Linked DNA regions of Daphnia pulex. The main gene of each other region encodes a partner of the protein of the gene in region 2 in a complex. Links are inferred from orthologs where the notes say so. Each region holds a gene or a part of one and is shown on either strand. Other genes may lie near its edges.

Region 1 (3,792 bases), on a different chromosome or scaffold from region 2:
ATCTTTGGCTGACAGATCACATTGCAGTGCAAAAGCTCCGTCTCCTGGCATAATGAGCTCCTTATCATGCTGTAAGATGAGAGTCACTTGAAACTTTTCTCCATCCTAAAAAAATTGCACATTAGAAACATGAGACGTTAGACGTGTTGATACATTCGTTATTCTTATTGCACGTACATCCTCAACATTGCACTGATCGTATGGTATTTTGAGCCGAAAACGACGGCCACCGTTAGCATCTAGAAAGCACGGTGCCTTTCGTGAATAGAAGCTGCCTAAGTCAGAGAAAAATTTAGAAACGAAAATTTAAATTTTAAATCGATATTTTCTCTTGTTTTGTACCTCTGGTGTATATGACTCCTCTAAAATCGGCCAGTGTCTCTACTACCACTTGAAAATTGTTGCTACCGCAGTCTAGCCGGATCTGATCGAACCCCGAAGCCGTCACACCAATGTTCATACGCCCAGTCACATCTTCCCGCCATAATTCTGCAGTTGAAGGGAAAAGTGGTAATATAATTGAAATTACTTGACTTAGACTAGTAGGATGACGTAATTCTTGCAAGATTCCGTAGTTTCTTAACAAAAACATATCAAGTTAAAACGCTTTAATGATTCTCACCTTCTCCTCTTGACGTGAACAGACACAATAAGAATGTCAGAGACAAGAGCACAAAATCACGGACAAACATTTGATAAAGCTTTCAAAGAAATGGTGAGATGGCACCGGAGTCAGTCAAGCTGAACTGGTTTCAAGACTAACTGCATGCCGGTCTTTGTACGGAAACACCTGAGTTTTCCATCTGTCAATGACTTTCTCTGGGTTATTCTAGCCTCAGGTGATTTTTTCGTTCTTTCAGATGAATGCCAGAAGTAAAGCTTACTTCCGTGCGGCAGAAATAGCATGCACCGGCGGGAAAATTGGTTTTACTTTTGATTTTGAAAAATAACAATTGTAAAATTTAATTATACGTAAATGGTGAGGAACTGGCAAAGTAGCGATACCCACTGAGGCAATATTTTAAGGGTCAATTTGTGAAATGGTTGGAACTGGTTGGAACTGGCAATTTTACTGATAAAATGCAGCAGAATAATTCGTACCTTCATTTAAACAAAAATGTTATAGTCATGTCATGAATGTGTGTGATCTTGTCTTTTGCTTTTTCATTGTGTTCATCAACCTGGATAAGGATCGGGATAAAGAGCTTGAAGTCTGTAACAATTTTAATATTCTCTTTAAAGTGGTTCCTCAACACAAAACGTTATAACAAACAAGGTGAAGTGTTTTCAATTCTTTTTCTTAGTAACTAACTTCAGTCTTAAAGGGGAAGGACTGAATGAAGATTGAAGAACAAATATAAAATGAAAGAGACAGAATTTCTTTTTTTAGGTACAGTACGTCTAAATCCAGGAGAAGCAAAGTAGAAAGAATGAAAGGAAAGGCGGAAAGGTTTCTGTAGGATATAACGCCACCTAGCGTTGTGATTTAGCAAGAATTAAGTTTGGTTTTAGTCAATAGATGGCTTTCTGTGGCGTTGGCGTCTGCTTTTCCAGTTGAGGTTGTTTAGAAAAAACTAATTTTTTTGTGTAATTTTAACGTGAACTTTGTGTTCTCAGATCTAGTAATTGAATTCTCATAGTGTTTGTTTAGTAAAAAATAACGTCTATCTGTTAAAGTTCATCATGTCGCTACAACGTGAACGGCGTGTAAATGCGGGCAATCGCTTGTCAAAATTACTGGAGGAAGAAGAACAGGATGACGATTTCTATAAAAGCACTTACGGTGGATTCAATGATGAAGAAGATGACAATGAATTCGTTTTCAAGTAATTTAAAGTCTAAATTTGTATATTACATCAATAAAACAAATCTTTTTTTGGTCTAGAGCGGAAGAGGACCAGGATGACGTAGTAGACTCAGATTTCAGCATTGATGAAAATGATGAACCTATCTCTGATCATGAAGATGAGGGCACTAAAAGAAAACGAGGTGTAGTCAGTACCAAAGCGTACAAGGTATGTCTATTCTACTACAGAATTAACGAATGAAATCATTTTTAAAAATTTTCTTAGGAGCCTAAAGCTTCCTCGAGCAAACGCTTAAAGGGTGACAAAAATGCTGATGAAATGACAGAAAGAATAGCAAAAGCTGGAGAAAAAACAGAAGTTCCTGTGGAAGTCCCGAAGGTCAGGTCGAAATATGCCAGAAAGCCAAAAATTCCTTCACAGGCCAGAGAAAAGAAGGCAGTAAGGCAAACAACTGTATTGAAATCAGCTGAAACTGTACAAAGACTCAGGGAGAGAGAAACAAAAGGGAAAAGAAAACACAACAGGTTAGCATTAAAAATAATTCTTCATTAGAAATGTTTCAAACCAATCATTTATTATGATGTAGAAGGGACAATTCTGAAAAGTTAACCCAACAACAGCTTCTAGAAGAAGCCAAAGAGACTGAATTGCTTAACATTCAATCATTGGAAAAGTATCACCAACTTGAACTGGAGAAAAAGAAAACTAGGGTCGTGAAAAAGGCTCCTACTGGACCAACAATTCGTTACCTCTCGACGTCAATGCCTCTGATCCAGGAAGTCAACCCGGAAGCCGAGCGAATTAATGTCGAAGAAGATGAGGAAAAAGAAGATAATCCAGTTGTTGAGAATGGCACGGTAGCCACAGTCGACAGCAAGCAGTGTTGTGAAAGAACTTTCGTTACGTTTTCGAATGACAGTGTCTTGGAGGCTAATTTCAGTCGGACGAAAGTCACTCCACCTCAAAAGAATTTTTGTCCTATCACCAGGTCGGTTTGAGTGATCGTCTTCTCTTAGATGAAAGGGAAATATCATTCGTTTATCATATCTCTTTTCAGGCAAAGAGCCAAATACTTTGATCCGGTGACTCAGCTGCCGTACGGCACTCTACAGGCCTTCCGGATTTTACGTGAGGCCTATTGCCAGCAGCTGGAGGTGAAAGGAGACGCCAGCGATCCGGAGATCGGCCGCTGGAAGGAATGGCGTCAAAAGTACCGCCAAGCTCGACTCGCCGCTCTAGCTGCCGCTCGCGCTCAACAGGTCAACGCGCAGGGAAACTCAGCACCTGCATCGACGCCAGTTCCAGCAGTCAAACCCTCCAACTCGAATAACTCCACACCGACGATATGAACGAAATTCTCCTCATTTTTTGCAACCGACATGAATAAAATGGACATTTTTTGATATTTTCTTTCGACCATTAGACAATTTAGGGTTTCTTTCAACTCGATTTGTGTTTCATACGAACTTTGTCAGACTAGCAAATGTTATCGATGAATTATTCATAGGTTAAATCCTATCAAAAGCGTCTTGCTACACCTGCCGACAAATAAGTTGGCAGTGATGATGAAACCGGAAGGCGATCAAGACGTATACCATGTTCTTTAAACTTCAAAACTTGTACTATTGTGCTGCTCTACTACTAATTCAGTTGACATTAGTCACCCAGCAGTTGGTTCCTTACAGCGGAGCTACTCGTTTTGTTCCTAATTGGTGGACTGCAGGTAAAATCAGCCATTTTAAAAATGTGTTTCCAAAAATAATTTGAACAGCTCATTTTTGTCTTTTCCATTGTTAGCAAGACGTCAGCATTCAACCAAAACATTAAAGCCTCTTATCTTTTGTCCAGTTCATCAAGCGGCAGGCGGAGAGTGTCGCAATTCCGAGGATTGCTCTGCAGACGAGTGCTGCGTCCGCTCTACGGGGTCCCGTCTGCACCGGTTCTGTTTGCCGTTGCGTCAGACGGGCGAAGCTTGTCGACTCAC
Region 2 (4,085 bases):
TAAGCCTGAATGGTTAAATTCAATCTCTAAAAGGTTCTAAATACAAAATTGGACTCAAATCTACTGAGTGTTGTTAAAGATGGAACGAAATTTTTTCGTAAAAAGAAGGTGACGTCCGAACTCCGAAGACACGGATTTTTTAAGAAGGTTTTTTCGGACTTTCGGAGCCCAATTTAGATCGCTTTTCAGACGGCTCTTTCACATAGACACATGAGTTGAGTCAAAGACAAGACAAAGTCAAAGCACACATGTCACTTTTAATTAGTTTTCATGTTATTTATTTCAAATATTTCAATATTTACAAATTACCCGAAGGGTTACTGGTCAAAGTTTCGTTTGCAGTATGGTTTACATGGGCACCCTCAGTTCTCGTAACACTACATAGATGGATGCACTAGTTTTTGGCAATTATTGATTGTAATCAACAATTTTATTGCATTTCAATGGCAGTAATCGGTAGCTTACAATTTTTTACATCTATTCTGAAAATTTGGCTGCAATCAATTCAGGCATTTGATCAAACGGAGTTCTGGTTACTTTTTGACAGAATTTCAATAGCTGTTACAGCAGACGATAATACAGAGACATGTGACAGGGATATAAACGTAACGTGACAATCGACTACTATTGTATGATAGAATAGAAGTCACTGTATGTTATCACCGAACGCTATCAATCTCCAGTAACAGAAGTGCTGATAGGTAGTTACTTAAATTTAATTTTAACAAGATCCGGTGTGACGTGGGGTGGCGGGGCGAAGCCTCCGCCGCACCAAAGTCACGCGGAAATATTCTTTTAATCTCTTTCTCGATTTATGCTTATTACAATCTTCCGGAAACTAAGGGCATAAATTTTTTTTAAATGTTATTAATCCATCTTAATAATAGGCCTACCTTTATAACAGAATATTTTTATTATTCTATAACTATTCTATAGCTCTGTCTTTGTAAAACTATACCAATACTACTATACCAACTAGAATACCCTTAACATTCCCTTCGGGTACCTTGCGGCGTACGTACGCTGCCTACAGTATAACTAGGACTGGCAGTAGGCGGCAGTAGGCTAACACTAGACCAAGTGAGCACAACTCCTAGTGACCAAATTGCTCGCTAGAGGGAATCTGCAGACATTCACTCGCTCGCGTCATCACATTAGATTCCTGTAGATCAACTGCAGAAAAGAAGCAGTGATCCAAGCCATCCGTCAAAAGCGTATAAGAAAAAGAAAATTTCTCAAAACTTAAATAAATTTTATTGTCGATTTCAATCAATTTGTACCAAAATGTTGTACTTAGAAGATTATTTGGAAAGTATGATGAGTGTTTCAAGTGATGATAAAGTTCCCTGATTAAAATTTTTAAATTACCATCTCCCCATTGTAGTGATAGAGCATTTGCCCCAAGAACTGAGGGATCGATTTACTGAAATGCGCGAAATGGATTTACAAGTTCAAAGTAACTCTCGAATAAGTTGTAGAAAATGTAATAGGGATGTTCGGCGTGTCGGGCCGTTTACTTACAGTTTCCAAGTTGAATAAATTAGACACGAACAAAACCGTGTCTTTTACCTCTCGTCTATTTTAACACACTGAATATTGTACAGTAAATTGGGGGGGAATAAACAATAGGGGGGTAGGGAAACAACGACTGAATTTGGGGACCAACGACTGAATTTGGGGCCACCTATCGGGGGCCCCCAAGGCAATAGTCGCGTAGGTGCGCCGGTGTTGTTGTGCGGCGCCCTGATCTCGTCGTCGTCTGTTGGAATGGAATATTCCTAACACACTCCCCACCAGAGCCCGTAGCATCCGGCTCGACATCTTCGACGACGTCTTCCGGTTCTTCGGGAGCTGGCATAGCGTCTCCGATAGCGAGATCGATTTCTGGTTCTGGCAGAGTTGGATTTGGATCCTCTTCCGGCTCCTGGATCGGTTCCGGATTTCCAATTTCGACGTCTTCGGCGAGATCTTCTCGCAGCTCTATAGGGTGAAGACATTGAATGGCTCTATTAATTAAATTACCATTTGGAATCTTGAGCATGACAGAACGGATGAGTCCGTCGCGGCTTGGAATCAGTTCCTTCACTACTCCGGTAGACCACATGAGTCGTTTGGAGTGTTCGTCGTGGATAACAACGACTTCTCCTAGGCGGATCTTCCTTCCGGATTTTCCTTTGGAGTGGAAGTTGTCTAGTTGGAGTAGATAATCGTCGACGAATCTAGCACAGATGTCAGCGACATATTCCCTCCTGTTCTTGTCCATCTCTTGTAGTACGATGCTGGTCGATGTAGGATCCAGCAAGTTAACGGCTGGCTCCGGATCGGCACGAGTAGAACGTCTGTTGTTTAGAAATTGGTTAGGAGTTATCGGAAGTGGATCGTCAGCTCCTTCCCCAATATAGCTGAGTGGGCGGGCGTTGATTACGCTCTCGATTTCTGCTAAACTCGCTTCCAGTTCCATGTAGTCAAGGCAGGCTCGACCGTTGGAGCGTCGCAGCAGATCCTTGACGCTCCTCACCATCCGTTCCCAGAATCCTCCCCACCATGGCGCTAGGCTGGCGGAAAATATCCAAAGGGTTTTTCTGGACGCGAGAAAGTCTTGAATGATGGGATCGGCGTGAATAGTTCTCAGGAATCGGTCGACACATCGGAACGTTTGCGCGTTGTCCGAATACATCACTGAGACGGGTCCTCGTCTAGCTGCGAATTTTCGAAAGGCTAGTAAGAAGGAACGCGCCGTCATATCGGGTAGTAGTTCCAAGTGAACCGCTCGAGTGACTGCACACGTAAAAAGACAAACATAACTTTTAAGATGGTTCGTTTTCTTAGCTTTAGTTGTTGTTATTAAGATGTCTTGGATTTCGACATCTTCTTCGACTGAATCCTCTTCGCCTACGATTAGAGCTTCGATTGGAGCGTCTCCTTCAGCGGGTGGCTCCTCGATTCGCTCTTCAGTTGGATCGTCTGCTGGCGTCGGATCCTGGACGCTTGGTGGAGCTTTCCTTTTCTTCCTTCGCTGTGCTGGTTTGTACAGCAGTGGTCCAGCGAAATCGACTCCTGTAACGTGAAAAGATTGCGCATGTTTGAGTCGGTTTAAAGGAAGAGGGGCTGCTAGTTCTTGCTGTCGTCCTTTAACTATCCAGAATTTTTCTTTTAACTCGGATAGTGTTACTTTTGCTCCTGCATGTAGTAGTGACTCGTGTTTGTCTGTAATTAAGAAAGTGATTACTATATGTGATGCAGGAAGCAAAATTGGGGGATCGATGTTTCTATCTCTTAGGGCAAGTGATACTCTCCCATGGATTCGAACGAGACGGTCTCTGGCGTCCCAGATTGGAAAAAGTGCAGCGATTTTCTCCTTGGGCTGGATTGTGTTGTCTAACTGTAGCGATTCAAACGCCTTAGGATACCGCTCTCGTTGGAGCTGTCTGTAGATCGTTAGTTCCGCTTCATCCAGCTCCTCTCTGGATAATCTTGTAATCCGGATAACTTTTCCACTTCCTTTTCCATCTGGTCCAATTGCCTTTATCGACTCCATTCGTTCTGGACCGGGAGGTCTGAGCTTCTTTTGACTCCTGCTGAGGAATCGTGAGACCCAGGCTGTACGTCTTAACAGTCGATTCCAGGTGGAAATTTTGTCGAGATTCCAGTCGACGGAGGCTGTTGGAATTGCGATGGCTGCTGTTGTGCTGACCGTCGTACTCCTAGCTTCCGATTCCATTTCGGACTGGATTGTTTGTGGAATTTGGTCGTTGGGAGAATCTGGCCATTCCGTTTCTTCTCCTTTGAGCCAAATCGGGCCGTTCCACCAAAGAGTTGAGGTTACCAGCGTTGGCGCTGGCGCTCCCCGCGAGGCAAGATCGGCCGGATTTTGGAGACCTGGACAGTGTCTCCACCACTCGGGTTGTGAAAATTTTCGTATCGTCTCCACTTGGTTTCGGACGAATGGTTTCCATTTGTTCGGCTCTCCTCTAATCCATCCTAGTGCAACCAAGGAGTCTGACCAGTAGATAGTTCTCCAATACTGGACTTGCATTGCATTTTTTACGACTTCACCTAAACGTACGGCTAAAAGTGAGCTCAGC
Region 3 (2,671 bases), on a different chromosome or scaffold from region 2:
GTGCAGCGGGCGTATGCAACGGGTGTCAAGTTAAATGTCCCTAATGGATCGTTAGCTAGGCCATCTGCTCCACATTGACATACAATTGCTTCCGGACGAAAACGTTTCATTACTTCCTGGAAAACTCTTTTGTCACAGATGAATGAATGATGATGAACCACATTGTAGGTTTTAAGGAGACAAAAGAAAATTTATACGTTTGAAAGACGTGGATGAAAGTTTCATCGCAAGCCCCATCTCTGAGTGGAACATTGCATGAATAGTTGCGACCCCTGCCGAAACCAGTGTCGTTGACTGAACCTGTACCCGGAAAATATCCTTCTTCATGTTTATGTAACGATAGCGTAAACACTTTGCGGCTGTAAGCGAAAGCATTTTCAACTCCGTCTCCTTAAATAAATAAAAATGGGTTTGTATCAATCCTTGTATACATTTACACTGAAAAAGGGTTGGACTTACCGTGGTGAATATCCAAGTCAATATAAAGTACGAGTTTGAATTTTCTTTCCAATTCTAGGATGGCAAGAACACCTGAAAATCCAATAGTTTTACCTTGTGTTTTCATTATAAAAATATTAAATTATTGTACAGTCATTGATGTAGCAGAATCCTGATGCACAATCTCTCTGAGCGTGATGCCAGCCTCCACAGAAATTTACTGCCACATCAACAGATCCAGAAACAAGTGCTTTGGCTCCTGCTACAGATCCACCAGCTATCACAGAGATAAAGTCATCAAGCTTGTCAAGTGGGGGGCAGTCAAATCCTTGATTAGATTTTAATGTGATAAATTAACATTTCCATTACATGTTTCCATATTCATATTACCTAAACCATATTCCTCACTGGATTCATCCTCTACATCCACATCACCTTTGAGGAATTCAATGTAATCGGCAGAATGAAATCCTTGAAAGACGTCATCATTAACTTTATCACAGTTTAAAAGCAAGACATGATCTAAGAGTCCATAAGATTCCAGCAAATGATGAACTAATGAGGCCTGAAAAGAAACAAAGCAAAAGTGAGATCAAAATACGTTATATGTACTATTGAAAGTTAGTTGTACATAATGCTTAAGTATGTCAAAATTTAACTGTGACATTTTTTAGTGGTGAATGGAAAAAAAATGTTACCCTGTTCTTCAGGTTTGGTACTCTATTACATTGATGAATTAATTCCGGTGAATATACATAGCCAATTTTAGATTTAGGGGGACATTTTATGATTTTTTCCTCGTTATCATCACAGCTCTTTTTTTCGTCCGGCAGTATACCCGCCATTTGAATAACGTTGTCTGCACCGCCACGTTCACTAGCGACATGGCGGACAATAAAGAAACCCGAAATTAAATGGCCGCCAGCATCGCCTGAACAACAAAAGAAAAGGGCGAAATTTTGGCTTGTAAAATGACTAAAAATACATCCAGCTCCGATTTACGATCTGAACTTTCTGACCTCGTCAAACGAAGAATCGAAGTCGCCGTAAGAATGAATTCAAATTTAACCTTAAAAACTGCCTACTTCATTGTTTATATTTGTGTTTTGTAGGAAACCCTAGCCAACTTGGAAAGACAAATTTATGCATTCGAAGGTAGTTACCTGGAAGATACACAGCTTTACGGAAATATTATTCGAGGATGGGACCGTTATTTAAACAGTACTAGCAAACTGTCAAACCCTTCATCTGACAAAAGGAACAGGAAATTCAAGGAAAATGAAAGACTTTTCTCCAAGTCTTCAATTACTTCTATGGCGGTAGAATTGCATGACACTTCTACTGAATTAACAGAAATAAAATTTCTTTCAAACCTAGGCTGTGAGCGGGATCATTGATCTGAATTCTGAGAGAGCAGAACGAAGCAGTGAAACTGAATCACAAGCAGGAATGAGTGGAAGTGACGAAAACAGCAGAGATTTTCTCGGTTTAGAGGGGGTCAATGGTGATAAGTTAGGAAAAGTTTCAAAATCCAGACATATAAATAAAAGAGGGAGCAAGAAGTCAAAACTGAAATAATTTCATATTCACTGTTCATTTTCCTATTCTCTATAACATGGTTTCGTGAATGCCCTTATGAATGTACCTTCCTAAGTGTTAAACAAACTTTATGTCTGTGTGTCAATTTTCTGGTTTTCTGAATAAATGCTCGAATTAAACATTCCAATGTTCTCGCAATTCATTTTCCGATTCAGACTTATTACGTAAATATGTTTCATCCTTCTATCGCCAGATGGATTTGAAAGCTCATTTGCTCCTCCCCCTCTCTTCCTTCTCTTGTTGTCACATGATCAGATGATTCTTGTCAAAATTCGGTAACCACACACTAAACCCTCTTACGAACCCTATTCGTTTGTATTGTATTATTCAGATCCAGTTTTAATCACACAATGTCGGGAAAAGACAAAATTGCCATTTTTCCTTCTCGAGGGTATGTCATATTTATCTTTAAGACGATTCAGTTGTAATTTAGAACATATTAGAGCTCAATAACAACTTTCAAGTTTTTGGTTTAATTCCTTTCTCTTGACACAATCAGAGCACAGACTTTGATGAAACATCGGCTTGCCGGTGCACAGAAAGGCCATGGTCTTCTTAAAAAGAAGGCAGATGCTCTTCAAATGAGGTTCCGCTCAATCCTGAAAAAGATCATTGATGTAAGTTGAAAAGGAAT

The links.
Region 1: inhibitor of growth protein 3-like (region 2) and vacuolar protein sorting-associated protein 72 homolog share a complex: the UniProt entries of both Homo sapiens proteins name them as parts of the nuA4 histone acetyltransferase complex. The link is inferred for Daphnia pulex from reciprocal best matches to the Homo sapiens genes ING3 and VPS72.
Region 3: inhibitor of growth protein 3-like (region 2) and chromatin modification-related protein MEAF6-like share a complex: the UniProt entries of both Homo sapiens proteins name them as parts of the nuA4 histone acetyltransferase complex. The link is inferred for Daphnia pulex from reciprocal best matches to the Homo sapiens genes ING3 and MEAF6.

The regions. Positions count from the first base shown.
Region 1 is NC_060028.1:9,610,817-9,614,608, reverse strand, and holds vacuolar protein sorting-associated protein 72 homolog, read left to right. Parts: upstream 1-1,401; 5' UTR 1,402-1,559; exon of another isoform or gene 1,560-1,617; 5' UTR 1,618-1,683; coding exon 1,684-1,826; intron 1,827-1,885; coding exon 1,886-2,015; intron 2,016-2,072; coding exon 2,073-2,332; intron 2,333-2,394; coding exon 2,395-2,796; intron 2,797-2,865; coding exon 2,866-3,157; 3' UTR 3,158-3,213; downstream 3,214-3,792. Other genes in the region: uncharacterized protein LOC124210054, read right to left, coding at 1-105, 178-275, 343-492, 623-692; uncharacterized protein LOC124210055, read left to right, coding at 3,405-3,531, 3,606-3,792. UniProt on the Homo sapiens protein: Deposition-and-exchange histone chaperone specific for H2AZ1, specifically chaperones H2AZ1 and deposits it into nucleosomes.
Region 2 is NC_060019.1:7,721,460-7,725,544, reverse strand, and holds the start of inhibitor of growth protein 3-like, read left to right. Parts: upstream 1-1,151; 5' UTR 1,152-1,284; coding exon 1,285-1,312; intron 1,313-1,384; coding exon 1,385-1,456; intron 1,457-4,085. UniProt on the Homo sapiens protein: Component of the NuA4 histone acetyltransferase (HAT) complex which is involved in transcriptional activation of select genes principally by acetylation of nucleosomal histones H4 and H2A.
Region 3 is NC_060026.1:14,091,054-14,093,724, reverse strand, and holds chromatin modification-related protein MEAF6-like, read left to right. Parts: upstream 1-1,341; 5' UTR 1,342-1,409; coding exon 1,410-1,484; intron 1,485-1,550; coding exon 1,551-1,757; intron 1,758-1,815; coding exon 1,816-2,016; 3' UTR 2,017-2,156; downstream 2,157-2,671. Other genes in the region: histone deacetylase 8-like, read right to left, coding at 1-126, 198-390, 460-531, 590-766, 829-1,003, 1,137-1,283; V-type proton ATPase subunit D-like, read left to right, coding at 2,388-2,428, 2,537-2,654.